Linked DNA regions of Coturnix japonica. The main gene of each other region encodes a partner of the protein of the gene in region 4 in a complex. Links are inferred from orthologs where the notes say so. Each region holds a gene or a part of one and is shown on either strand. Other genes may lie near its edges.

Evidence for each region. The genes of interacting proteins can lie anywhere in the genome.
Region 1: the proteins of TIMM10B (region 4) and TIMM10 are in contact, whole or in part, in a cryo-EM structure (PDB 7CGP), measured with the Homo sapiens proteins. The link is inferred for Coturnix japonica from reciprocal best matches to the Homo sapiens genes TIMM10B and TIMM10. Residues at the interface, in NP_036324.1 of Homo sapiens: Gln7, Leu11, Leu14, Arg15, Phe17, Leu18, Leu19, Tyr21, Asn22, Arg23, Met24, Thr25, Glu26, Cys28, Phe29, Val33, Pro34, Ser35, Leu36, His37, His38, Arg39, Leu41, Glu46, Leu49, His50, Ala53, Gly54, Ile57, His61; in NP_036588.1 of Homo sapiens: Ala6, Leu9, Leu13, Glu16, Met17, Asp20, Met21, Arg24, Ala28, Lys32, Cys50, Asp52, Arg53, Cys54, Ser56, Lys57, Tyr58, Asp60, Ile61, His62, Glu63, Arg64, Met65, Gly66, Lys68, Leu69, Leu72, Asp76.
Region 2: TIMM10B (region 4) and TIMM22 share a complex: the UniProt entries of both Homo sapiens proteins name them as parts of the TIM22 complex. The link is inferred for Coturnix japonica from reciprocal best matches to the Homo sapiens genes TIMM10B and TIMM22.
Region 3: TIMM10B (region 4) and AGK share a complex: the UniProt entries of both Homo sapiens proteins name them as parts of the TIM22 complex. The link is inferred for Coturnix japonica from reciprocal best matches to the Homo sapiens genes TIMM10B and AGK.

What each region holds. Positions count from the first base shown.
Region 1 is NC_029520.1:7,774,880-7,778,919, forward strand, and holds TIMM10 (mitochondrial import inner membrane translocase subunit Tim10), read right to left. Parts: upstream 1,486-4,040; 5' UTR 1,418-1,485; coding exon 1,347-1,417; intron 1,175-1,346; coding exon 973-1,174; 3' UTR 886-972; downstream 1-885. Other genes in the region: SMTNL1 (smoothelin-like protein 1), read left to right, coding at 2,445-3,260, 3,442-3,628, 3,912-3,945.
Region 2 is NC_029534.1:5,110,012-5,116,073, forward strand, and holds the start of TIMM22 (mitochondrial import inner membrane translocase subunit Tim22), read right to left. Parts: upstream 3,186-6,062; 5' UTR 3,171-3,185; coding exon 2,816-3,170; intron 2,096-2,815; coding exon 1,899-2,095; intron 936-1,898; coding exon 863-935; intron 1-862. UniProt on the Homo sapiens protein: Essential core component of the TIM22 complex, a complex that mediates the import and insertion of multi-pass transmembrane proteins into the mitochondrial inner membrane. In the TIM22 complex, it constitutes the voltage-activated and signal-gated channel.
Region 3 is NC_029516.1:55,079,311-55,085,306, forward strand, and holds the start of AGK (acylglycerol kinase, mitochondrial), read right to left. Parts: upstream 3,186-5,996; 5' UTR 3,171-3,185; coding exon 2,985-3,170; intron 1-2,984. UniProt on the Homo sapiens protein: Lipid kinase that can phosphorylate both monoacylglycerol and diacylglycerol to form lysophosphatidic acid (LPA) and phosphatidic acid (PA), respectively. Does not phosphorylate sphingosine. Phosphorylates ceramide.
Region 4 is NC_029516.1:174,016,763-174,022,614, forward strand, and holds TIMM10B (mitochondrial import inner membrane translocase subunit Tim10 B), read right to left. Parts: upstream 2,573-5,852; 5' UTR 2,493-2,572; coding exon 2,451-2,492; intron 2,335-2,450; coding exon 2,239-2,334; intron 2,158-2,238; coding exon 1,966-2,157; 3' UTR 1,950-1,965; exon of another isoform or gene 1,827-1,949; 3' UTR 1,615-1,826; downstream 1-1,614. Other genes in the region: ARFIP2 (arfaptin-2), read left to right, coding at 3,208-3,306, 3,392-3,500, 4,682-4,792, 5,592-5,707. UniProt on the Homo sapiens protein: Component of the TIM22 complex, a complex that mediates the import and insertion of multi-pass transmembrane proteins into the mitochondrial inner membrane.

The DNA of each region.
Region 1 (4,040 bases), on a different chromosome or scaffold from region 4:
GAACCCACGCAGGCAGCGCGCGGTTGGGAATTCTTTATTAAAAATGGTCTTATTTTGGGAGCGTGGGGCCCAGCGGCTGCGGCGCTGCCTTTCCAGGTCACGGCACTCTCTCCTCGTGAAATATTGATGGCCCCGGCACCACTGCTGCCGGCCGCAGGGCCCCACGGCGCACGCACCGCTCGCTGCGGCACGGCTGGACGGACACACCGACGTTACACTCAGCAATGCCACCCCGTTGTCACGCCTGCAGCACCTTGCACACCCACTGCTTGCACGACAGGCTCACGGTGGGGCGTAATGCGACCCACAAGCTGTGAGGACAGTGAGTGTGCGCGCAGCCTGACCCACTTCCAGCCAGCCCCGGGGACACACCGGCACAGGCGCACTGTGTGTGTACGGGTGGATGGACACACAGTGCCCACCCCCAGGCTGGGGTGTCTCTGGCTGGGTGTTCCCATCTAGTAACCCTGTGCAGGTCTTCCCTACACATGTGTGCACATCTGTATGTGTGGCTCTGGGGTTGTTTCCATCCAGGTGTCCCCCCCTAAGTGTCCCCACGTGGGTGTCCCTGTGTGGTCCTTTTCCAGGTGTGGAAAGGGCACTGTCCCTCTCCAGCCATCCATACCAAATGTCTCTGTGCCTGTCCCCATGCAGGTGTGCTGTTTTCTCACTGCCCCCCTGCAGGTGTCCCTTTGTGGCCATTTCTCCAGGTGCTCCCCAGTGTCCCCCCAGCAAGCAGAGTGAGGGGCACAGCCCTGTCCTGACCCCATAAGGGATAAGGAAGGTTTCAGCCTATCCCCGAGGCTGACGTGGGCACAGCAGACACGCCGGGGTGCCCCCATCTCCAGTAGGTTAGTGGGACACCCCCTGACACAGCACCACAGACGGGTTTGGGGGGCCGAGGGAAGCACACAGCTGGCCCAGAGCCTCCAGTTTATTGGTACGATGGGAAGGGGAGTCCGAAGGGAGGGCTCAGGCGGTGCCCGTGCCCTGCTGCATGCGCTTCAGGAGCTCCTCGTCCTGCAGCGACAGCTCCGTCAGCTTCTTGCCCATCCGCTCGTGCACATCCAGGTACTTGGCCACGCAGCGGTCCAGGCACACGCTCTCGCCTTTCGACAGCTCCGCCTCCTTGTAGTGTGGGGGCACGCACTTGAGGTGACACGCCTGCGTCATCCTGAGGGACAACACCGTCACCCCACGGCTCTGCCCGGCACCCCCCACCCCCGGCACCCGCACAGCCCCCGCACAGCCCCCACCCGCGACACCCACGCGCCTCTCGCTCTCCCAGCCCCTCCCTGTCCCGGGCACTACCCCCAGGCCCCGGCCCGTCCCGTCAGGCCGCGCACCGGTTGTACATGTCGGCCATCATGTCCACCTCCAGCTCTGCCGCCAGCTGCTGTGCCCGCAGCGGGTCCATGTCGCTCCCGCACCGCGCTCCCGCAGGATGCACGTGGGACGCGCTTCCGCCCACACGCTCAGGCGCTCCGCCCCGCCGCCGCTCTCGGTCAATAGGAGACGGGTGGGGGCGGGACAACGGCTCGTTCTCAGCGCTGATGGGACGTGGGGAGCGGTGCGGAGCGGGGTGGGCGGGGGCAGGCGATGGAGGGCAGGGATGGATCGGGGCCGGCCCGGCCCACGCGTGACCTCCGCGTGTCCCCGTGGGTCTGCCCTCACGGCTCTGCCCCCTCGTGTCTGTGTCTGCTACGGGTCTATGGCCCCGTGTCCCTCTATGTCAATGTGTCCCCTATGTCCCCCCACAGATCAGGGCACTCTGTGTTCCCTTTGTCACCCTTCTCTCCCATATATGTGTCCCCCGTGTCCCCTCGTGTCCCACGCATCACCCATCTCCTCCATGTGCCGTGTCTCCGTGCCCACTCGTGACCCTCATATCCCCCCGATATCGCCTCCACGTCCCCCCATGTCCTCACGTGCACGCGTCCCCCCGTGTCCGTGTCCCTGTGTCCCCGTTCCATCCCGCAGTCCCCGCTATCCCCAGGCCCCGCCCGGCCTCCTCTCCCCCCCGTCCCGTCCCGTCCCCTCCCCGCTGTGCCCCTCTCCGGCCCCCGACCCGCCCCGTCGGCGCTGACTGAAGGCGGCACCTGCGGCGGTCACACGGCCGCGGGGAGAGCGGAGAGCGGTGAGCCGGGATATGGGGCGCCGGGGGGCTGGGGGGGACGTCGGGGGTTTGGGGTGAGAAACGAGGATAGGACGGGATGGAGGGGGGTCGGGGTTGGGGGTAGGGAGTGAGTTGTGGAGTTGGGACTGAGCTGGAGGAGCTGGGAGGGGGCAGGAGGAAAACATGAATGGGGAATGGGTTGGGTTGGGGTGTGCAGGGGGGAGGGAGGGGTTTGGGGACAGGAGTGGGGGGTGGGGGTTGGGTCGAGGTGGATGGGAAGGGATAAATAATGGGGATGGGATGGGGACTGGGAGCTGTGTTGGGGCCGATGGGGTGGGCGGGCAGGAGGAACGCTGAGGGACAGAAGTGCAATGGGATTGCATGGGGTGGAAGGCACGGTGGATACTTCAGTGACAACCCTGCAGCCCACAGTAGGAGCATGGAGTCCACAACAACCGATGGAGCCCCAACCCCAAATGACACTGCCCTGGGTGACCTCACACAGACATCAACAGGGCCCACAGAGGGGATGGTGGGGGGGGACAGCGGGGAAAGTGCAGCACAGGAAGGGCAGGGGGAGGCTGGGGGGGATGAAGGGGGCGCTGGGGGGGAGAGTGCAGGGGATACGAGGATTGGGGGCGAGGTAGAAGCAGAGAAGAACTGTGGGAGTGAGGCTAAGGGGGAGGCAGTAGGGGATGCTGTGAGTGAGGTCAGCATGGCAGGAGATGCTGGGAGTGAGGCTAAGGGGGAGGATGCAAGGGATGCTGTGGGTGAAGCTAAAGGGGAGGCTGCAAAGGATGCTGAGAGTGAGGCTAAGGGGGACACTGTAAAGGATGCTGTGAGTGAGGCTAAGGGGGAGGCTGCAAAAGATGCTGTGAGTGAGGCTAAGGGGGACACTGTAGAGGATGCTGTGAGTGAGGCTAAGGGGGAAGCTGCAAAGGATGCTGTGAGTGAGGCTAAGGGGGAAGCTGCAAAGGATGCTGTGAGTGAGGCTAAGGCAGCAGGGGATGCTGTCAAAGAGCCCACAGCAGGGCAGGCTGCAGAGCACGAGGCTGAAGGGCAAACCAGAGGCAGTGCAGTGCCACAGGAGGATGCTGAGCTGGGGCCCAGGCCAGTGGCAGCAGGCAGCAGCCAAGGCCGGCAGGTGAGAGGAGGCACGGCTGGGGTGGCATTGCCAGGGGCTGGGTACTGGGTGGCACTGGTGGGGTGGGGGTGGTGGCACAAGGGACAGGTTGTGGCTGTGGGGTGCAGGGTGGTGGTAGCAGGTTGGATGGCAGCAGTGAGGTGGTGGTACGGCTGTGCAGCCATCATGCCTGTGCCCATAGGAGCCCACCTGGCTGCAGGATGAGGATGATGAGCTGTGGCCTGAGTTCCCCCCCTGCTCACCCACGGAGGAGGCCACCAGCCCCACCAGCCCTACCACCCCTCTCTCCCCTACCTCCCCCGTGTCTCCCACGTTCCCCATGTCTCCCACATCTCCCTCATCTCCTGTGTCCCCCACATCCCCCACAGGTAAGAGCTACATTGGGCAGGGCCCTGAAATGAGCACAGGGATCCCCTTCCAGGGCAGGGGAGGCGGGAGGGGGCCTGGGATGAGGAATGGGGGGTGAGGTGGGTCCTCTCCCAAGCTCTCTTACAGATCCCCATACACTCTGTAGAGTCCCTCTGTTCCCAGTCCCAGCTGCCCTATTTGGGACCCCCTGCAGTTCCCCCAGGCACTATGGCTGCCCCAGGGGGGTAGCTCTATGCTGGGTGCCCCTTCTTGTCCTACTGACTCCTCTGCTCTCCCCTGCGGCTGGTAGCACTGAGAGCTCAGGTGGCAGTGAGAGGTGAGAAAAGAAGAACAGCCAGCACCAGGGCTGCCTCATAGCCCTGCCCCACTGCTGGCATCCCCATACCCTGTTCTCATAGGTGATATCCACAG
Region 2 (6,062 bases), on a different chromosome or scaffold from region 4:
CAGTCTAGGAGAGAAAACAGCAGTGGCCACTGCTGATTTCAGATCTATAACAAGTGACTTTACTGTTGGACAAAGATGGACCACAGCAAAAGCAGCTGCTACTTTGAATGCTCTAAGAGGATTAGGTTCAGGGCTGACACAACTTAACAAGCTCAATTAGAAGCTCTTTTGAGAGCACTTTCATTTCTTCTATGCTCTGGAAACTGTTTTTGTCTGTTTGATTTTGTTTTCTTAAAGACAAGTCAATGGAGTTTGATATTTCTGCTGAGCAGCAGCACTGCTCTCTTCCTGCCTGGGGCTCTTCTCCAGATGTTAACAGTCAAAGCTTCCCAAGAAGTCCCCTCTAGGTCCTGCTGGACTAAAATCTCAGTGCTCCTGCTCTTGTACAGCTACATAGAATTGCCTCTTTGAGACAGGAGAAAGGAGGGAGGCATTGTACAAGCTGATCAAGTTAACAGAGTTCCTGCCAGTGAAACAATATATCTAAGTAGAGCTCTATTAACACAAGAGCTGTAACTTCAGCGAGTTGCTCAGAACATATTTTTGGCTCCCTCTCCATGACACCCCAGTAGCATGTGGAGAGCTACCAGCACCATTTCCTCATTTGCTTTCAAGTCACTTCTGTTCATTTCTCTCCGCTCTCCCTGTCCTGTACAACCAGCCTTCCCTACCCACACATATCTTTCAAGATGACAGGAAAGAGACAGAGATGACAGTTCTGCCAACTTCAAGCACATTCTCATGCTGACATCAACATAACCCCATACAGAGAGATTTGCAGCGTGCGTTGCCTTAAAAATGCTGCTTGTTACCATCCCAAATTGCTGCCTTATCACAGCAGTTGCTACCAGGCATCACCAACCTCTGAAGCCAATCGCTCCTCCTGTGATGCAGCCACTAATAACGCTGTTCCTCCAGTCTGACTTTCCACGATACTGTGGAGTTAAAAAACAAGAGACAACAAGTAAACATGGAATAACAATTCGACATCTGTACTAACACCAAGGGAGGTGAAGCCTTCCAGCCCTGTTTCAGATGAGGATGCTTTTCCTTCTGCTCTCAGCAGATGGCCCCCCTGCACTGTAAAAGTTTTTATGTGGCCAGGAGGAGGGGAAGGAGCAGGTCAGCAGGAGAGGTAAGACACATCCGCATGGTGCAATGCAGTGCTACAGCACACTCTCAGATGAGCCCATACAGCCCCCACAAGGCAGCACAGTGCACCGGCACCAGCTCACAGACAATTTAAAGGCACTGTGAGCACAGCATGGCCATGCAGCCATGAGAGCAAACAGCAGCCTGCGGGCAAACATTAGCTATTAGCTAGTTTTTCACCAGTGCAACGTGTTTGTTCTGCTTCGTTGTGCACACAGATACACTTTTCTTTTACACGGATTAAGAACTAATTGTGTTTTTCGATTGAAGGACAGTACTGACATTCATAACAGGCTCATCTTCCTATTTAAGAAAACGGGTGATAGCTTTACCACTGAGCAGCACGAGGTCGTTTCCTGCTGTAGGGGCAAGATGAAAACAGCCCTATTACTTCAGATCTTTCATCAAAGGATCCCTTTCTTCACATGTACTTTTTAGAGGCTCAGATGGCCACGTTGCAACTCCCAGTTTGATGTTTTAACACAACTATGAGTTGTTTGGAGCTAAAGTTTCAAAAATCAATGCCAAAATCCAGGACTTGAACTGGAAAGCTCTTCACTGTTGCATGCAGCTCTGCTTATTCCAACACAGAACAGTTCTGAAAACCTTTAGAACTGAAAAGCTTAAATGATCAAGAAGCAAAAGGCAACGAGCCAATCCCTCACCACAGTGGTTTGGACTCATGAAAGGCGCTCAATGGTGTATAATAAAAGCTCCCATAGTAACGTTTGAGGGTCGTTACTCACCGATTCCACCACGCACTCGGTGCAGGAGAACATGGCGCCCACAATGGCGAAGTTCTTGGCGTAGGAAATGCCGCGCTGCCCCATGTCCTTCAGCACCTCCTTGGCTGTCGGGGTGCGATACGGGTCCTTGGGGTCGAAGCCCACATTGGTGTCGATGCCAGCAGTGAAGATCCCAAAGGCTCCTCCAAGAACAAACCCTGGGGAAGACAACAGCTATGAAATGAAGCTCTGGATTGGAGCAGTGATCCAACACTCACAGGGTTAGAGCTGCTCTGGTCTTAAGGGCAGCATGAAGGGCTGATGTGCTGCAGACACTGATCTGATCACAGAATCACAGAATTGTAGGGGTTGGAAGGGACCTCTAGAGATCATCAAGTCCAACCCCCCTGCCAAAGCAGGCTCCCTACACCACATCACACAGGTAGGCATCCAGGTGGGTCTTAAATATCTCCAGAGAAGGAGACTCCACCACCTCCCTGTGCAGCCTGTTCCAGTGCTCCGTCACCCTCGCTGTAAAGAAGTTCTTATTAAGGAACTTCCTATGCTGTACTTTCATCCCATTAGCCCTAGTCCTGTCCCCACGCACTACTGAAAAGAGACCAGCCTCACCACTATGGCCCCCACACCTCAGGTATTTATAAACCTGGATCCAATCCCCTCTCAACCTTCTTTTCTCAAGGCTAAACAGACCCAGTTCCCTGAGTCTCTCCTCATAGGGGAGATGCTCCAGGCCCTTCACCATCTTAGTGCCCCCTTTAGTGCAGGCACACAGCACAGAGAGTTCTATCTTAAACTGGAGGGGAAGGTGGGAGCCCCTTCCCCGTGTCCATGGGCTGGAATTGCCCTTAAGATCTGACAGACCCTCATCCCCCCCCTCAGCCCCAACCCAACACCGTGTGTCCCCCACCCCCCCTCACCCCCCACGCAGGCCAAGGCCGCTTTGAAGGCGCAGCTCTCCATGGCTCTCTCCACCATCTTCTGCTCGTCGCTCTTGTTCGGGCAGGGGATGCCCCCGAAGCTGTTGGGGTCCCACACTCGGGGTCGGCGTTGCTCGCCCACCAGGTGCTGCAGCACAGCGCTGTATTGCAGCGGAGGCTGCGAACCGCCCGGCGGTGCGGCCGCCATTATTGTCCTCCGCGTAACGAGGAACCGGCAGCGCGGCTTCCGTAGCGCGCGGGGGTTGATGGGTGTTGTAGTTTCACTAACAGAGACTCCCGCTGTGAGGCGCGCTGCCGAGACTCCATTTCCCAGCGTTCCCCGCGGCAGCGCCATGACACTGAACTACAGCTCTCGGCGTGCTTTGCGGAGAGACACGCGATTGGCCGCGCTGAGGGCTGGGAGCCCCGTTACCCGGCGTACAGCGCCCCCTGGTGGCCATTGGGGGCGGTGCAGTGAGGTGAGCGCTCCGGCTGCACGAGCATCCAACGGGGCGGCAGCGATAAGAGGCAGCGATAGGAGACTGCGATAAGAGGCAGCGATAGGAGGTGAGAGCGGCTACGGGGGGGATGGAGCGGGGATGGGACGGCCACGGGGATGGGGAGGGATGAGGAGCCGCAGTGCGGGGCCGATCTGCCTCCGGTGTGTCGTTAAGCTCGGAGGGGTCGTTAAGCTTTGAGGGGTCGCTCCGTTCCCGGAGTGACTTCTATCTTTAGGGATAACAGCTCAACCTCAACACGGGGCTGAGAGCTGCGGGTCCTGCCGTGGTCGTTCTGCACAGCCCCGGGCTGAGCCCTGCGGGTGGGTGTCCCCCTCGTAGCACTCAGGGCTCAGCTGAGCTGTGCGTGGTGCTGGGATCATCCTGCGGCCCATCCGAGCAGCACTGCGCTGCCCCGGGCACACGGAGAGGCAGCTTGACATCAAAGGTGCTTAGAGAGCAAAAAAAGTCTGTCTTTTTGTCATAAAATGCAAACCGAGCTCGCAGCGAGTCATATAGAAACCTCAGCCCTTCCGCGCTTACCCTGTTTGGTAGCAGGGTGGGAAACTCTTCTTCTGTGCCCCCCCTCAGCTGAACGAGGAGGAGCTGCCAAGGTTTAAAGCCTTCACCCACACGCTCTGTGCCTTGTGTTGCTGTTCTGTGCAGCAGGAGCAGCGCTCTGCTCAGCCCAGCACGATGCAGGTGGGTCTGCTTGGAAGGAATAGCCTGGTTGGCTTCAATGTTGGCTTGGTTTAACTTTAGAAGTTGCCCACAGGTTTTGAAGCCCTGAGGTGGTTTCAGCAGATGAGATGAGGTGGCTTCAGATCGTTGTGCTGAGAACTGAAAACGATATCAAAGATCTGTTGGTTGTTCTTAAGTGATGTGTTAAGTGTGACATCTTCCTGATGCCATTCATTGCTCTGAATGGGGACTGCTTAGAAACCCAAAGGATCCACAATCATTTATTTTCTATTTCTTTTCATTTTTAACATTTCTTGCCCTGTATCTTGTCTGTGCTGGATACGCAGGTTCAAATAACAACCTGGTTTGATGGTTCTTCAAATGAAGTGATGGTGTTATTTTCAATAACTTTCCTCTTTTCCTATTAAATTCCACTGCCCTCTGCTGGCTGGACCATCAGACCTGCCCAGAGCTCTTCCCCCACTATTCTTTTACTCTTTAAGGCTTTTTATATCTTAAGGTCAGAAGCTGTTGCAAAGCTTGCTGTTAATGTCTACTACAATGGGATCCTTATACAAAAGAGGAGGTTGGTGGCAGGTTGAGCTCCCTAAGGAGCCCTGAACTGTAGATCTCAATCTTCTCTTTGATCCACACTAACCTAGTTGGGCTGATCTTGAAGTCACACTGCAAAGCCTATTTTCCCAAGGCATAAGGAGAAGAAAGAAATGTTGGAGCTGGCATTTGATGCTGTGAGTTTATATGTGAGACTGCAATACTGCTTTTATTTTATTTTCCTGTGTTTCCAAACCCAGAATCATGAGTTTATATTTGCTTGTGAATATAACAATATTTCACAAGTATTTTCACCTGTGTTTATATGAAATAATTATATTGATTTCTATACATATATCCATAAATAAATATATTTTTCTTCTTTAGGTATTTATACTTTTCCACTTCAGGCTGTTCTGTGTTCCACCTATGAACAAATATATGTGCTTGAAAGGTCCTGATGTGATTATCCAAATGGTCACATAAGGGAAGTCAGTTGGAACATATTAAGGTTCGGAGAGGGAACCTGAGAGTCTGAGACATCTCCAATAAGTTCTTCACAGGAAATTTTAAGTTGTTTCTTCCTGGTCCCAGGTGAAACCTCTTCATGTTGTGCATCTCCTCCCTGCTGTGATGGCAGGATCAGGTGCAGCTGATGGTGGCTTTGCTCAGGCCTGTGATGGACCCACTGTGCTCAGCACTTCAGCAGAGGGCAGCATGCGGGAATATGAAATGATTGTATTTCACTTGGCCTGTGCGGTGACTCAGTTGTTATCCCACATTGCAATGTTCTCCAGACAAGGTTCTGAAGGGCAGATTATTCAAACCTTGGAAGTAATGGCTTTGCTTGAAATCCTGGTTTTGCGTGTTCCTCCAACATTTTGAATAGGCTTCAGCTGTTGTTTTTGGCACTGCTGTTTGAAAACAAAACCCAAAGGTTTTCATAGCTCAACTTTGTTTTGTAACACGTTGTCAGTTCCTGAGTCCTTGCTGAAGCAGGAAGGGCCTGAAGATGGAAGCTGGAAGTAGTGAGATTAATCCATTCTTTTTCCCTCTTATACCCACCTGTCTGCCCCCTTTTCCCTTCCCAGAACTGCAGCAGCCCAGGGAACTGAGAGGAAGAGGTTTCCCTCCTCTGAGAATGGAAACCTTTCCATTGTACCATGAGCAGAAGAAAGCACAGCAGGTTTGTATGCTGGGAGCTGGTTACTCTGCAGCTCTTGCCTCTCCTGGAGCCCATAGATTCCCCAGGGCTACAGAGGACTGTGCTGGTGCTGGACTCCATTCCAGCATTACCACCAAACGTTTGCACTCTGTAGTACTCACATCCATGAACTGAGACTGCAGCTTTCCTACCTCTCATCCAGGTTCTGAATGTAATGATTTCTTACCAATGAGATTTTAAGTTCTTGGCTTTGAAAGGACATTACAGCAGTAAACTGCCTAAATCCAGTGGATTTAGTTGCTTTAACATCTATGCTTCCCTTGGCTTATGGATTTAACCAGTTTTATGTTTG
Region 3 (5,996 bases), about 120 Mb from region 4:
ACCATGCAAGAGATAAAACTGCTGTTCCTGCCATCTCTGATGGCTCACTGCACCACTCAGGATGTAGGAAGGGCAGCAACAGCCCCACTGAGGAGAGAAGATCCAGGACATGAACTGGGAAGGTGTGAGGTGATTTGGTGAACATGTAAAAACAATCCTATGATATCTTGCCTTGCTATTTCTTCATCAATATGGAAACATTTCAAGTAAGACAAGATGATGAGTACAATTTAAAGCAATTTGAATTTTATATTATGACTCCCTGAGCTCATGAAGTCAACAGACATCAGTAGCTACTGCTCAGAAACACAGCCAGAATTAAGCTGTGTACCCTTTTTCCATCCTATTGAGAAAAGAGGTTTTTAAAAGGCAAGTTGATTACTTCTCTGTAATCAGTCTTGTCTGGATATGTTAAATAGAAGTGAGGCACTGAGTACAAACATGTCTCTGACAATCTGCACACCCTCCATGGTTTGATCTAGCATATAAAATTCAGTGCCCCTCACACCTGTAGTATGATATACCACTATCTCAGCCTGCCCAGGGTGGTGGTGGAGTTGCCATCCCTGGCAGTGTTCAAGAGGCGTCTGGATAGGGAGCTAGGAGATATGGTTTAGTGGTTTTTCTGTAGGTATGGTAAAGGGAGGACGGTTGGACTAGATGATCTTGTAGGTCATTTCCAACCTTGTGATTCTATGATATACTATTGATTAAAATGATGATAATTCATGTAATCGAGTGATATTAAAGAGTGATAAACTCATATATGACAGTACTGAGTATTCAATTTATTTCTCCAATATTGTAAGGGTAATTGCTATCCCAAATACAAGGCAACCAATTTTAGATGCTCTTTTGTGAGAAACAAAGGAATGTTAAGGTTCACCAAGGCATTCCAAAAACAGCAACAGGGTTTTAGTTAACAGTAGTTCAACCAGCCACTATGCCTATCACTCCACACATGAGAAGTTTTTCCTATTTCCTGATTAATGTCAATTTTGAAGAGGCATTGCCCATTATACTACACATACAGATCATCTGAATCACAAATGGTCAAGGGGGAATCTGCACTCTTTGCTCTTCTAGTTCATTGAAAAGCCCCTTCCTGTTAAACCAGTCAGTATTAGAACAAACACCTCCAAAGATGAGAGGCTAACACACTGATCCAGAAACTAAATGCTACAAGAAAAAAGCACCACGCAAGACCAGGCTAAGAAATTCCTTGGCCTTTACAAGCCATCAACAACCTTTAGACTAATTCAGAGAAGAATCCTTTCACTGCAGTGTCCCACTCTCCTTTACAGCCGATGAAACACAATGGCATCAACATCAGACCCCCAGCACAGCCCACATTATGCTGGAAGGGGACAACAAAGGGTCTGAGTTTTGGCTGATCCTGTGTGGAGCCAGCAGTTTCATAGTTTCATAGTTTCATAGTTTCGTGCGGGTTGGAAGGGACCTTAGAGATCATCGAGTCCAGCCCCCGGGATTCGAGCCTCTGTGTAGCAGAGCGGCACTTCTACCACTTGCGCCACAGGGGGGATTCGAACTTCGGGCCCCAGTGTTGCAAGGCGGCGTCTTTAACCACTGTTGGACTTAATGCTCCTCATGGCTCTTTCTCAAATTGGGATATTCTATTTAGGTGCAGGGAAGATGCACAGAGGATGAGTCTGGAGAAGGTAACATTCTCCATATCCCCAATCTGTCTATGCAGCATTCCCCAAAGTCTTAAGCAAGTGCTTCAGAGTTCTTGTGTCCTTATGAGCAGCCTGAGACTGACTATAGAAGAGTTGCCATTTATTTGCAGGGCAGATAGTAGCAGCTCCACTTAATGCAGGCATCGTAGCCTCTGCATCCAAAAGAAGAATGAACCTTGAGAAGTCAGAATAGCAAATGAACTTCTCCTTGCAAGAGAAACATCTCAGAAATTTCATGAGGATGGAAAAGCCAAGAAGAAGGATGCAGGAGGGTTCAGCTCCAAATAAATGAGCAACACCTCAGACAGCTAATTCCAGGAAGTCAGAGGCTAATCTGAACTAATGCTGTGCTAAAGCAAGCCCCTTCATCAGAAATTCCTGCAATGCCTGAAAATGAAGCACAAGACTTCACTAAACCTTTAATCTGTTCTAAGAGGGCAAATATAAGTCTAGTAGTATGTCTGGTGCATAGTAATTTAGCCTGTGATGCTACTAACAGCAAGACACAGAGCCAACACAGCCCATGTATGGCTCTCTCCTTGATCTGTCCAAGTGTAACTGGTACAGAAACAAAAGAATCGGGGCTGACTGACATATGAAAAGAAATGCAAAATCCACTATCACATTTGGAAGCAAAACAGAAACTGCAAAGAGAGCCCCTAGCCTACCCCTGTTGATGCGCAGCCAGGTGAGAAGACCTTCTGTATTGATGGACAGCCAGCTGAATATGAGCCAGCAGTGTGCCCAGGTGGCCAAGGCCAGTGGCACCCTGGCTTGTATCAGGAATGGTGTGGTGAGCAGGACTAGGGAAGTCATCCTGCTCCTGTATTCGACATTGGTGAGGCCTCACCTCGAGTACTGTGTTCAGTTTTGGGCACTTCAGCACAGAAAGGACATGGAGGTGCTGGAGCAGCTCCAGAGAAGGGAAACGAGGCTCGTGAAGGGCTTTGAGAATATGCCCTATAAGGAGTGACTGAAGGAACTGGGGCTGTTTAGTCTGGGGAAGGGGAGGCTGAGGGGAGACCTTAATGCTCTCTTCAAATACTGAAAAGGTATTTGAGTGGGGCTGGTCTCTTCTCACTGGTGACATATGACACGACAAGGGGAAATAGCCTCAGGTTGCATCAAGGGAAGTTTAGGTCAATGATCTTAAAGATCTTTTCCAATCTGAGCAATCCTATGATCCTATTCTGCGCACACAGAGCAGTTCTGCTACACACCCGGCCCCACAACGAACAGGACGCAGAGCCGCCCGCCCCTCAGCCCTCCGCCCCAAGCGGCACTTACCAGTGCTTCCCGTACAGCCAGTTCCCCCCCCAGCTCAGCAAGCACACACCGAACGTGGTTTTCTTCCAGTGACTCCTCAGCGTAGCGAACACCTTCCCCGCCCCCGCCATGCCGTCGGGAACCCGGAGGGAAACGAGGAACGGCCCGCGGCCGCCGCCGCCCGGCTCGGCTGGAAACGGCAGCCATGGCCCTGCGTTCCGGGCTGCCAGCACGGAGGTCACTTCTGAGATAAGATCCTCTCACAGAAGATCTGTGTACTAATAGAAGTGGACTCCCTTCCCACCTCAGCAATTTTTGGGACGTTATCTGAGAAATCGGTCTGGAAATTTGAGATGGTGCTTTTTGACAACTGCCCTTAGAAGAAACACTGCAGACAGCAGCAACATATTGTGTGCTTATCCCATTATCTGGCTTTACTTTGGATGCAGATCCGTTCTGCTATCCCTCCTGGCAAACATGCATGTCCTAGTTTTTGGCTGTGGCTGCTGATTGCCCTCAAGGTAGATCACACCTGCCGTGCTCTCACATGTACCAGGTACTTCCTTTTTAGGTCTCCTAGTTTTTGCATGTCAAATCAATAGAAGTAGGTAGTAGGATAAGTGCAATGAAAAATGAGAGGATAGAGGGCTGATTTTGAGCATCCTCTGTATCACATACTGTAGTCAAATGACTGCTACCTTTTCCAGAAAACTGCTTGGAAGAGGCTGCAATACGTCCTTGGGTTACTTATGATTGCTGGATGGTTTGTGTAAAAAGAAGTCAGTGTTCGAAAGGCTGCCCCACAACTGTAATGCTTGACATGGGATTTATCACCTAAAATTACTACGCAAATTAATTGTGAAGACAAGTGCGTGCCTCATCCCAGACCATGCTTCAGGGACATATCTATAACATTAGAAAAGTCACATGCTTAACTGGATAAGTTCTCTTCTTAGCTAGAGTACATGGCAGAAACAGTAAAGGAGGGATGCTTTTCTACCACTTGGCAATGCTCTATGATTGTACATATGTAAGTATTGTTCAAGGACAGAGAATTATTCTTCTTTTCTATTCAGTACAACTTGTCCCCAAGTCCTCACCTCAGCTAACTTGTCTGTGTTGCTGTGTTTCTGCCATGATTGTTCCTCTGGGAAAAGGACTGAAGTCACTGCTTTCATCACGTGATATGTAGTTATGAGTTGGACCTTCTGATACCTCCATGGAAGCTGTGAAAAGAGTCCTATTCCCAGCCACCAGCTGGTCTTCTATTCAAATTCACAGCCTGAAAGCTAATTCTAGCCATATGGTCTGCAGATAATCCTCATATGTCTGAGCTGGGTGACCCTATCCTGCATCTCCAGTACATTTTACATCAGCACTCTGTGAAGGCAGGGAGAGTTTCTTTACTTGATGGTAGCATGAAGGATAAGCTCCGTCTGTCCCCCACACCTACCTTTATACACCTTATTGATATAGCTGTGGCAAGAGTGGGAGGCTGGAGGGAGCATCTTTTAGCACAGAAACCTTAAGCTTTTGTGCTGCTGATGAGAAAACCCCAGACTGCAAATCTCTCCATGCTTCTGGCCCCTCGAGGGAGATTGAACTCTGCTTTAATTCTGCAGCACCTGAGCACCAAACATGATTTACAGTGGATAGAGCCCTTGTTCTTGGTCTCTTGGGGTGTCTCTCCAGATCAAACTGTGGGATAGGAGCTCCAGCCTTACTGGTTTCCACACATCCAACTTTTCTCTCTCCGCAGGCCTATCTCTCCCACAGGACTGAGCTGCAGAAAGTGCTGTTTCCTTGCCTAGGGCTTCCCATGCTAGCTGAAATCTCTGGTGGGTTTTCCAGTTGGTGTTTCTTTACTTGTGCTCTCCAACTCATGAGCCCAGCATCTGCAGCATCCCTTCCATTTCTATGTCCCTCTCCATTCCACTCTGGCCTGTGTCCTGTGTAATAACAGGGTGTATTGCAGCCACTGAAGCTAACCGGAGAAATTCTGTGTTTGTGGTAGCAGGAAAAGTTCATGATGGATTCTTTTGCCCTCATTTTCAGCTCTGCCCAAAGGTGCAAGCCCATGGGGCATTCATGTCTGCAGTCAGTGCCTGCTCCACTGGTGTGGAGAGAGGTCTGAATTACACCGACAGAGTTTTTGGTTGGGTAATTCAGAGGCACTCGACTCTGTGTGTGAGAATAATCCCTTCATTTCCTTCCATCCACTTTTCCTTTTCTATTCAGTAAGCAGAACACAATATGAGCTTCACCCTCCCTAGATCAAAATTCAGGAGCGTGCCCAGCATATTTCTACAGCAAAAAAATCACTGCTTTTGTGCCCTGCCCCCTCTTCCTGTGGCTGGACTATTACACAGAAATATTCCCCAATTCTCTGAGTTTATTAACCTTTTTTCCAAGGGAATGAATGGAGATATTCACAGCTTTTGAACAGTCGCAGAAACCCATTACATTTCTCTGTGGCAATCTTGTCGGGAGGTTGTTCCTTTAGCAGAGACATTTCAGGAGGCTCTGCGCCTACTCCCAACCTATTTGGATTCAGTAAATGCAGGTGCCACTGAGGCATTAGAATGAGCAGTCCTGGCTCCAAGCTTTAAGAGGAGCCCCATTCTGTCCCACTGCCAGCACCAGCTGGGTTGGATCTCCCTTAGGTCTGCTTTGAATGAGAGAACAAGGACAGTGCCCCAGGCTGGGATCAATCCCTTCACTCAGCAGCACAAAACCCAATGCATAAAAATCCATGGCAACTTCTGTGTTTGATAAACTATTTGTTTTTATTGAATATGACAGTGAGGGCTACTCTGAAGATATCATTTTAATCACTGGTAGGGGATTCCGTTCTTATAAAGTCCTGCTGGTCCAGATTAAGGTCATTCATCCTGAAGCTGGAGGCAGTACCCATTTGGATGATGGAAGCTGGCATCCATCATGCTGGTAACATCAAGCCTCCACAGGCAGGTGTTGACACTGCCACCAACAGAACCTCAGAGTGGATGATTTACAGCCACCAGATTCTCACAC
Region 4 (5,852 bases):
CTATGGGGACAGCGTTGTTCCAAAATCCAATCTATAAGCTAATGGAAGAAGAATGCAGCAGAGTCCATTGAGTACAAAGGCACCGTGCCTGGCTGAAGTGCAACTGCAGAGCATTTAGAGGGAGGGCAGCATTCAGAGCAGCAGTGAGTGAGCACAGCAGATTCCACGTACCTTCCATCTGGCAACGCTTTTTCCAGCCCCAGTGTATGTCAGCCAGGCTGGTGTGGGCTGGATGAGGGGAACACAGCTGGGACACGGGCCGTGGGCTGGCAGTCAGCACAGATGAGTCACAGGCAGCAGAGTCCCTTGGGAGAGCACACCAAGATGCAGCCAACACCAGGCAACAGCCCGGCAGATGGGGCTGTAACATGCCGTGCTGTGCCATGCTGTGCTGTGCCATATCAGGCTTCATTGTGCCATGGTGCATTGTGCCAGGGCTGGAGGGCACAGTGGAGGCTGGACTAACACACACAGGCTGTGCCTTTACATCACACCACACTGAACATGGAAAATTGCTGTTAAACCCAAAGGAAAACTTCTCCACCACAGGGGTAGACCCAAAGGAGGGTTATCACCACACTGAGTGTCACACACTGTAGCTGGGGCTGAGCAAAAGGGAATCTCCCTTGCAGTAACGCCACCTCCAGCAGCACCCACGGCCCAAACTCAGTGCAGATTTGCATCACTGCCTGTGCACCCAGGGCTCCTTGGGAGGACCAATGCACTGCTGTCCTGTGTAGCTGTTTGCACAGCCCAGCTCCTTCACTTCCATGCCTGCCTTTGGTTCCTAACCTTGGTTCTGCCGGATCTCCACCCATGAGCACCACCCACCTGCAGTGCTGTGGCTGACACACACAGCACCCACACTGCAGGCACTGCTCACACAGCTCCCAGCCCTCCCACACAGCCACTATCTGCCGCGGCCTTGGCTCCCTGTGCACAGCTGGGCCTGAGACACAACCTGCCTCCTGTGAGAGGAGAAACAGCCCCAAGCGGGGCCGTGCCTGGAATGCTGTGACAGGGGGGCAGTGGTGCAGCGGGAGCCCATCAGCCGGGTGCTCTCCCGGCAGCTTATGGACTTGCTGGAGAACGTACCCAGTTTATGCTTTGTCCACAAGGTGGAAAATAATCTTAGGGGCCTCCAATGTTCACCAGATCTTTGGTTTTCCCATAGCTTAAGTAACGAAGGTCGACTTGTCTCAATTACTGGCACTTAAAGACCTTACATCTGTGTGCATTTGTCTACTCTTCTAAGTGCCAATGAAACCCATCAGAGGGAAGCCAGGGAACAGGGTATCACAGAATCATAGCATAGAATCACAGCATGGCCTGGGTTGCACACAGTGCTCATCCATCCCAACCCCCTGCTGTGTGCAGGGTCACAACCAGCAGCCAGGGCTGCCCAGAGCCGCATCCAGCCTGGCCTTGAATGCCTGCAGGGCTGGGAGCTGCAGCCTGTGCTGATGCTGCTCCAGCAGCAAGAACACAAAGAAACAGTTCCTAGAAGGAGCAAAGTGGGAACCTTTGCTGGGAGGAAGGTGCCGCTGGCAGCAGGACGCAGCACACAGCGCTGCTTGTGGAGCAGTGTCCGTGTACCCCTGTGACACACTGACAGCACGACACATAAAACGTTTTATTAACCCCATGAAATGGTCAAATACAAACACAAGATGTTCAGTTCTGGACAGCAGGAGCCCAGTCAGTGCTGGATTCCAGCCGGGAGCTGCAGTGCACACAGCAGCTCATACACGTTCCCTTCCTCCTCCTGCCCCCGGTGCCGTTGTGCTGCCGGTTTTGGCCGCCATGTCGGGCAGTCCCGGCTGCTGCTGTGGGTGCAGAGAACGCGGCTCGGCCTGGCCCGGCTGTGACACCGGGCAGTTCAGCGGCTCCACACGGGAGCTGCCATCAGGTGACCGTCCCGCAGCCACCTCCCGGCCACGGCAACGCACCGACCCCGCGGCTCCGTTACGTGCCCGCGGGAGCCGCGTCGGGATCAGCGGGAGCCGCTTCGTGTCCGTCCGGTGCGGCCGGTTCCGCGCTGTGCTCGGTGCGGGCGGCGCGGCGCTGCACGATGCCGGGCATCAAGGACACGTAGGCGCCCATCAGCCGGTGGTTGGAGCGGACCAGCTTCCCGGCGCAGCCGTCCAGGCACCGCTCCTACGGGCGGCACCGGCTCCGTTCGGCTCCGTTCACCCCGTCCCGTCCCGTCCCGTCCCGTCCCGCCCGGTCCCCGCTCACCTCGCGCCGTGACAGCAGCCGGTGCCCGAGGTCGGAGACGCAGCGGCGGAAGCAGAGCTCGGTCATGCGGTTGTACACCAGCAGGAAGTCCCGCAGCTGCAAAACAGCGGCACGTACGGTCACCGGGACGGCCCGGCACCGCCGAACCGGGACGAACCGAACCGAACCGAACCGGGCCGCCCACCATCTTCCCCCCGTCCCCCCACACTCACACTGCGGAGCTGCTGCTGCTGTTCGGCCGCCGCCGCCTCCATGTCGGCCCGCCCCGCGCTGCCGGAAGTACCGGCACTTCCGCCCCGCCGCACTTCCGCTCGGGGATCTACAGCACGTCACTTCCGGCTCGGTCTCCCGGCGCCCCCCGCGCGGGTCGTGACGTAACTTCCGGCGCGTCCGGGCCGAGGCGGATCGAGGCCGCGGAGCCTCCGGGGCGGGGGGGCCCAGCGGGGCCGGGCGGGGCAGGTGGGACATAACGGGACATAACGGGACATAACGGGACGGGCTGGGCTGGGCTGGGCTGGGCTGAAGGTCGGGGTGAAGGTCGGGCCCCGGGTGGGAGCCGGGCTGGGAGCCCCGGTGCCGCCGCAGGGCCCGGCCGTGCAGTGACAGCCCGGCCTTTGGGCCGCCCCGGTCCCGTCCCGGTTCCTGGTGCCGTTGCAGCCGCTGCTCGTGTCGCTCCTGCTCGTCCCGCCCGGGCTCTCGGTGCTCGTTGGCTCCGAGCGGCGGCTGCGAGTCCCGGGCCGGGCCGCAGCGCTGCCCCCAATGCCGGTACCGAGGGGCGGGTCCAGCTCGTGATAACGGCGCTCGGTGCGGGCGGGGCGATGCTCGGAATGTGACCGGACCGGTCCGGCCGGGCCCTGCCGCGCTCTGCCGACGTGGCCCCGAGCCCCGCGCCAGGAGCCGTGGGGAGCTCGGACCGAGGGGACACGAGGAGCCCCGTGAACGAACCGTGTGTCCCCGCAGGCCCTGACCATGTCGGATGGGATCATGAGCAAAGCCGCCACCATGGAGATCCCCATCAGCAGCAACGGGGACGCCGGCAGCCTGCCCGAAGATGACGGCCTGGAGCAGGTGTGGGGCTGCGCCGGGGCCTCACGTCGGCCCCATGGGTTGGGGGTCTGTCCTTGTGCTTCAATTTAATGCTCTGCTCCCCCAGGACCTGCAGCAAGTGATGGTGTCGGGGCCCAACCTCAACGAAACCAGCATCGTGTCTGGTGGCTACGGGGGAACCGCTGAAGGCATCATCCCCACCGGCACCATCAAAGGTACAAACGGCTTCCACAGGGACGGGGCTGTGGGTGGGGGTCAGCTGGGTGTTCTGCTGGAGGCTTTAGGGCTCAGTGCTGGGGTCACAGCCCACCCTGCTGCAGCCCTGAACGGGGCCAGTCTGTGTCCCTGCTCCCAGCAGCTCTGCTCGTAGCTGAGGCCGTCCTGAGTCACAGCCACGTGGCCCTGCAGAGCTCAGCCTCCTCACAGCCCCAGAGCACAGCACTGCTGCCACCCCGCCAATGCTGTGGGGCCCATCCTGGGGGTGTGATTTCCACCCAGCTGCACTTCTTACCCTGCACGTGCCCTTGGCTCACAGGCAGCTGTGGAGATGCCTGGCTCTCTCGTAGATGCAGGGCTTCTGCTGAGGGAGCTGCTCTGCCCTCCTGGGGCACTGGTGTGATGTGTGGGCTCAGCTCTTGGGTATCCAAGAGCCCCAAAGGTGCACAGTACTGGCACAGCTGTGGTGGCTGCACCTGAGAGACACCTTTCAGACAGAGGGGGACAGGGCAGAAGGGTTCTGAGCCCCAGACTCTGCGTTAATGTCCCGTTTTTGCTGTTGCTGCCCACCTGGGAGCCCCAGGCACTTCTGAGCCTGTCTGTAAATGCTCTGTGCTGGAGGGATGGTGTCCACGGGCTTCTGGGGAGCTGCTGCTGCTGCACACCCAGAGCCACAGTCAGTGCAGCTGGAGCAGCTCTGCCCCATCCATCCCTCTCACCCTGTTCCCATTTCATACAAGTCTCTGTCCCAGCTCTTGGCCAGTCTGGCCCATCTGCTGCAAACAACTGTTTTCACTGTGGGTCCTTCCATGTTGTGCCAGGCTGAACGGGTGAATTAACTTAGGCAGAGGGGAGATGAGCTTTTGCTGACAGCCTGCTGTGGCTGGGGGGATATTGTGCAGTGGTTCCCTGTGTCTGTCAGTCCTGGCCTGTCCCAGTTCTCAACCTGGTACGTGTTGATACCAGCCTGGGGATGGGGAGGAAGCAAGAGAGGAGCCTGGGTGCCTCTGACGTGATGCTGTCTGTGCGGCTGCCATCTGTATCTACTGATTTCACATCACTCTTTCATCTGCTCCCCTGCTGCCACCCTTCCTGCACACTCATCCCTGTGTCCTGGTTGCTCCTGCCCTCGTGTCCTTCACACCCCCCCCACCTCTTCCCTCTGCTCACCTCCTGCCAGCCCCTCCATTTCCAGGCTGTCTTGTCCAACCTCACTCACCCCGAGGACCATCCATCTCCCCCAGTGCATCTGCCGCCAGCAGGATGGCCAGCCAGGCTGGTGCTTCAGCAGGTACTGCAGCCACCCCAGCGCCCCATGGTGCGACACAGCCTTTGAGTCCTCCTGTCTCAGGCTTAGGGCCCGGGCTTAAGGCTCCCGTTGTGTGCAGTGTTTCTCAGGGTCAGTTTCTTGCCCTGCTGTGGTGGGGAGCAACCCAAAGCAACCCAGACCCAACCCATGCCTCCCCCAGCAGCAGAGTCTACTCACGGTTCTTGTGCTGGGGGCACACGTGGCACTTCCAAACCACAGTGCACCAGGCAATGAGGCCGAGCTGTGCCTGGCTGTGGGATGCACTGTGTGTCTGCCTGGCCTCTCCTCCACCTCTACCATGCCCCGGAGCACAAGGAGTATTGCCTAGCACAGGAGCACCAGGGCCATTGGTGTGCAGGGCTGTCCCTGCCAGCAGCTCTGCAAGTGAAAGGGGGAACAGCATCTCCCATGTGGGCAGCAGCCAATGCAGTGAGCACCAGGGCCTTGGTTATCAATGTCTAGTAGGGTTTTGGGGGCCAGATTCTGTGCTGCAAGAGGCCAAGTCCTGCTGCTTGCAGGCAGGTGACAAATCACAGGACACTGAGGGCTCTGTTGAGCCTGGTAGCAGTGCCTGACTGGCAGGGGGGAGCCGCTGCCTGCCTGCATCTCATGGGGCTGCCCAGGGTGGATCTGCCTGCACCAGGAGTCTGCTCTGCTTGCACTTCATCAGGCCGCAGTGTGGCCCTGGGAGCAGCAGCCCTGAGAGCACTGCAGTGTGGGGTGGGCAGCCTGGCCTGCATCCAAGCCCTGTGCTGAGCCTCACTGCTGTGCTGTGTTCCAGGCTCTGGGCTTCACCAGCCTCATCCCAGCCCACCGGTCGGAGGGGAGGAGGTTGTTCGCGGCATCGCTGTGGAGAAGTTTGACATTGTCAAGAAATGGGGCATCAACACATACAAGGTACGTCGCATCCCTGGCTGATCAATACATACAAGGTATGTCACATCTCTGGCTGTGCAGCAGGGCAGAGAACTTGGGCAGGGGACAAAGGAGCAGTGATGGATGGGGAGCACATCTCGGCACCAGTGCAGCAGCCCTACAGGGA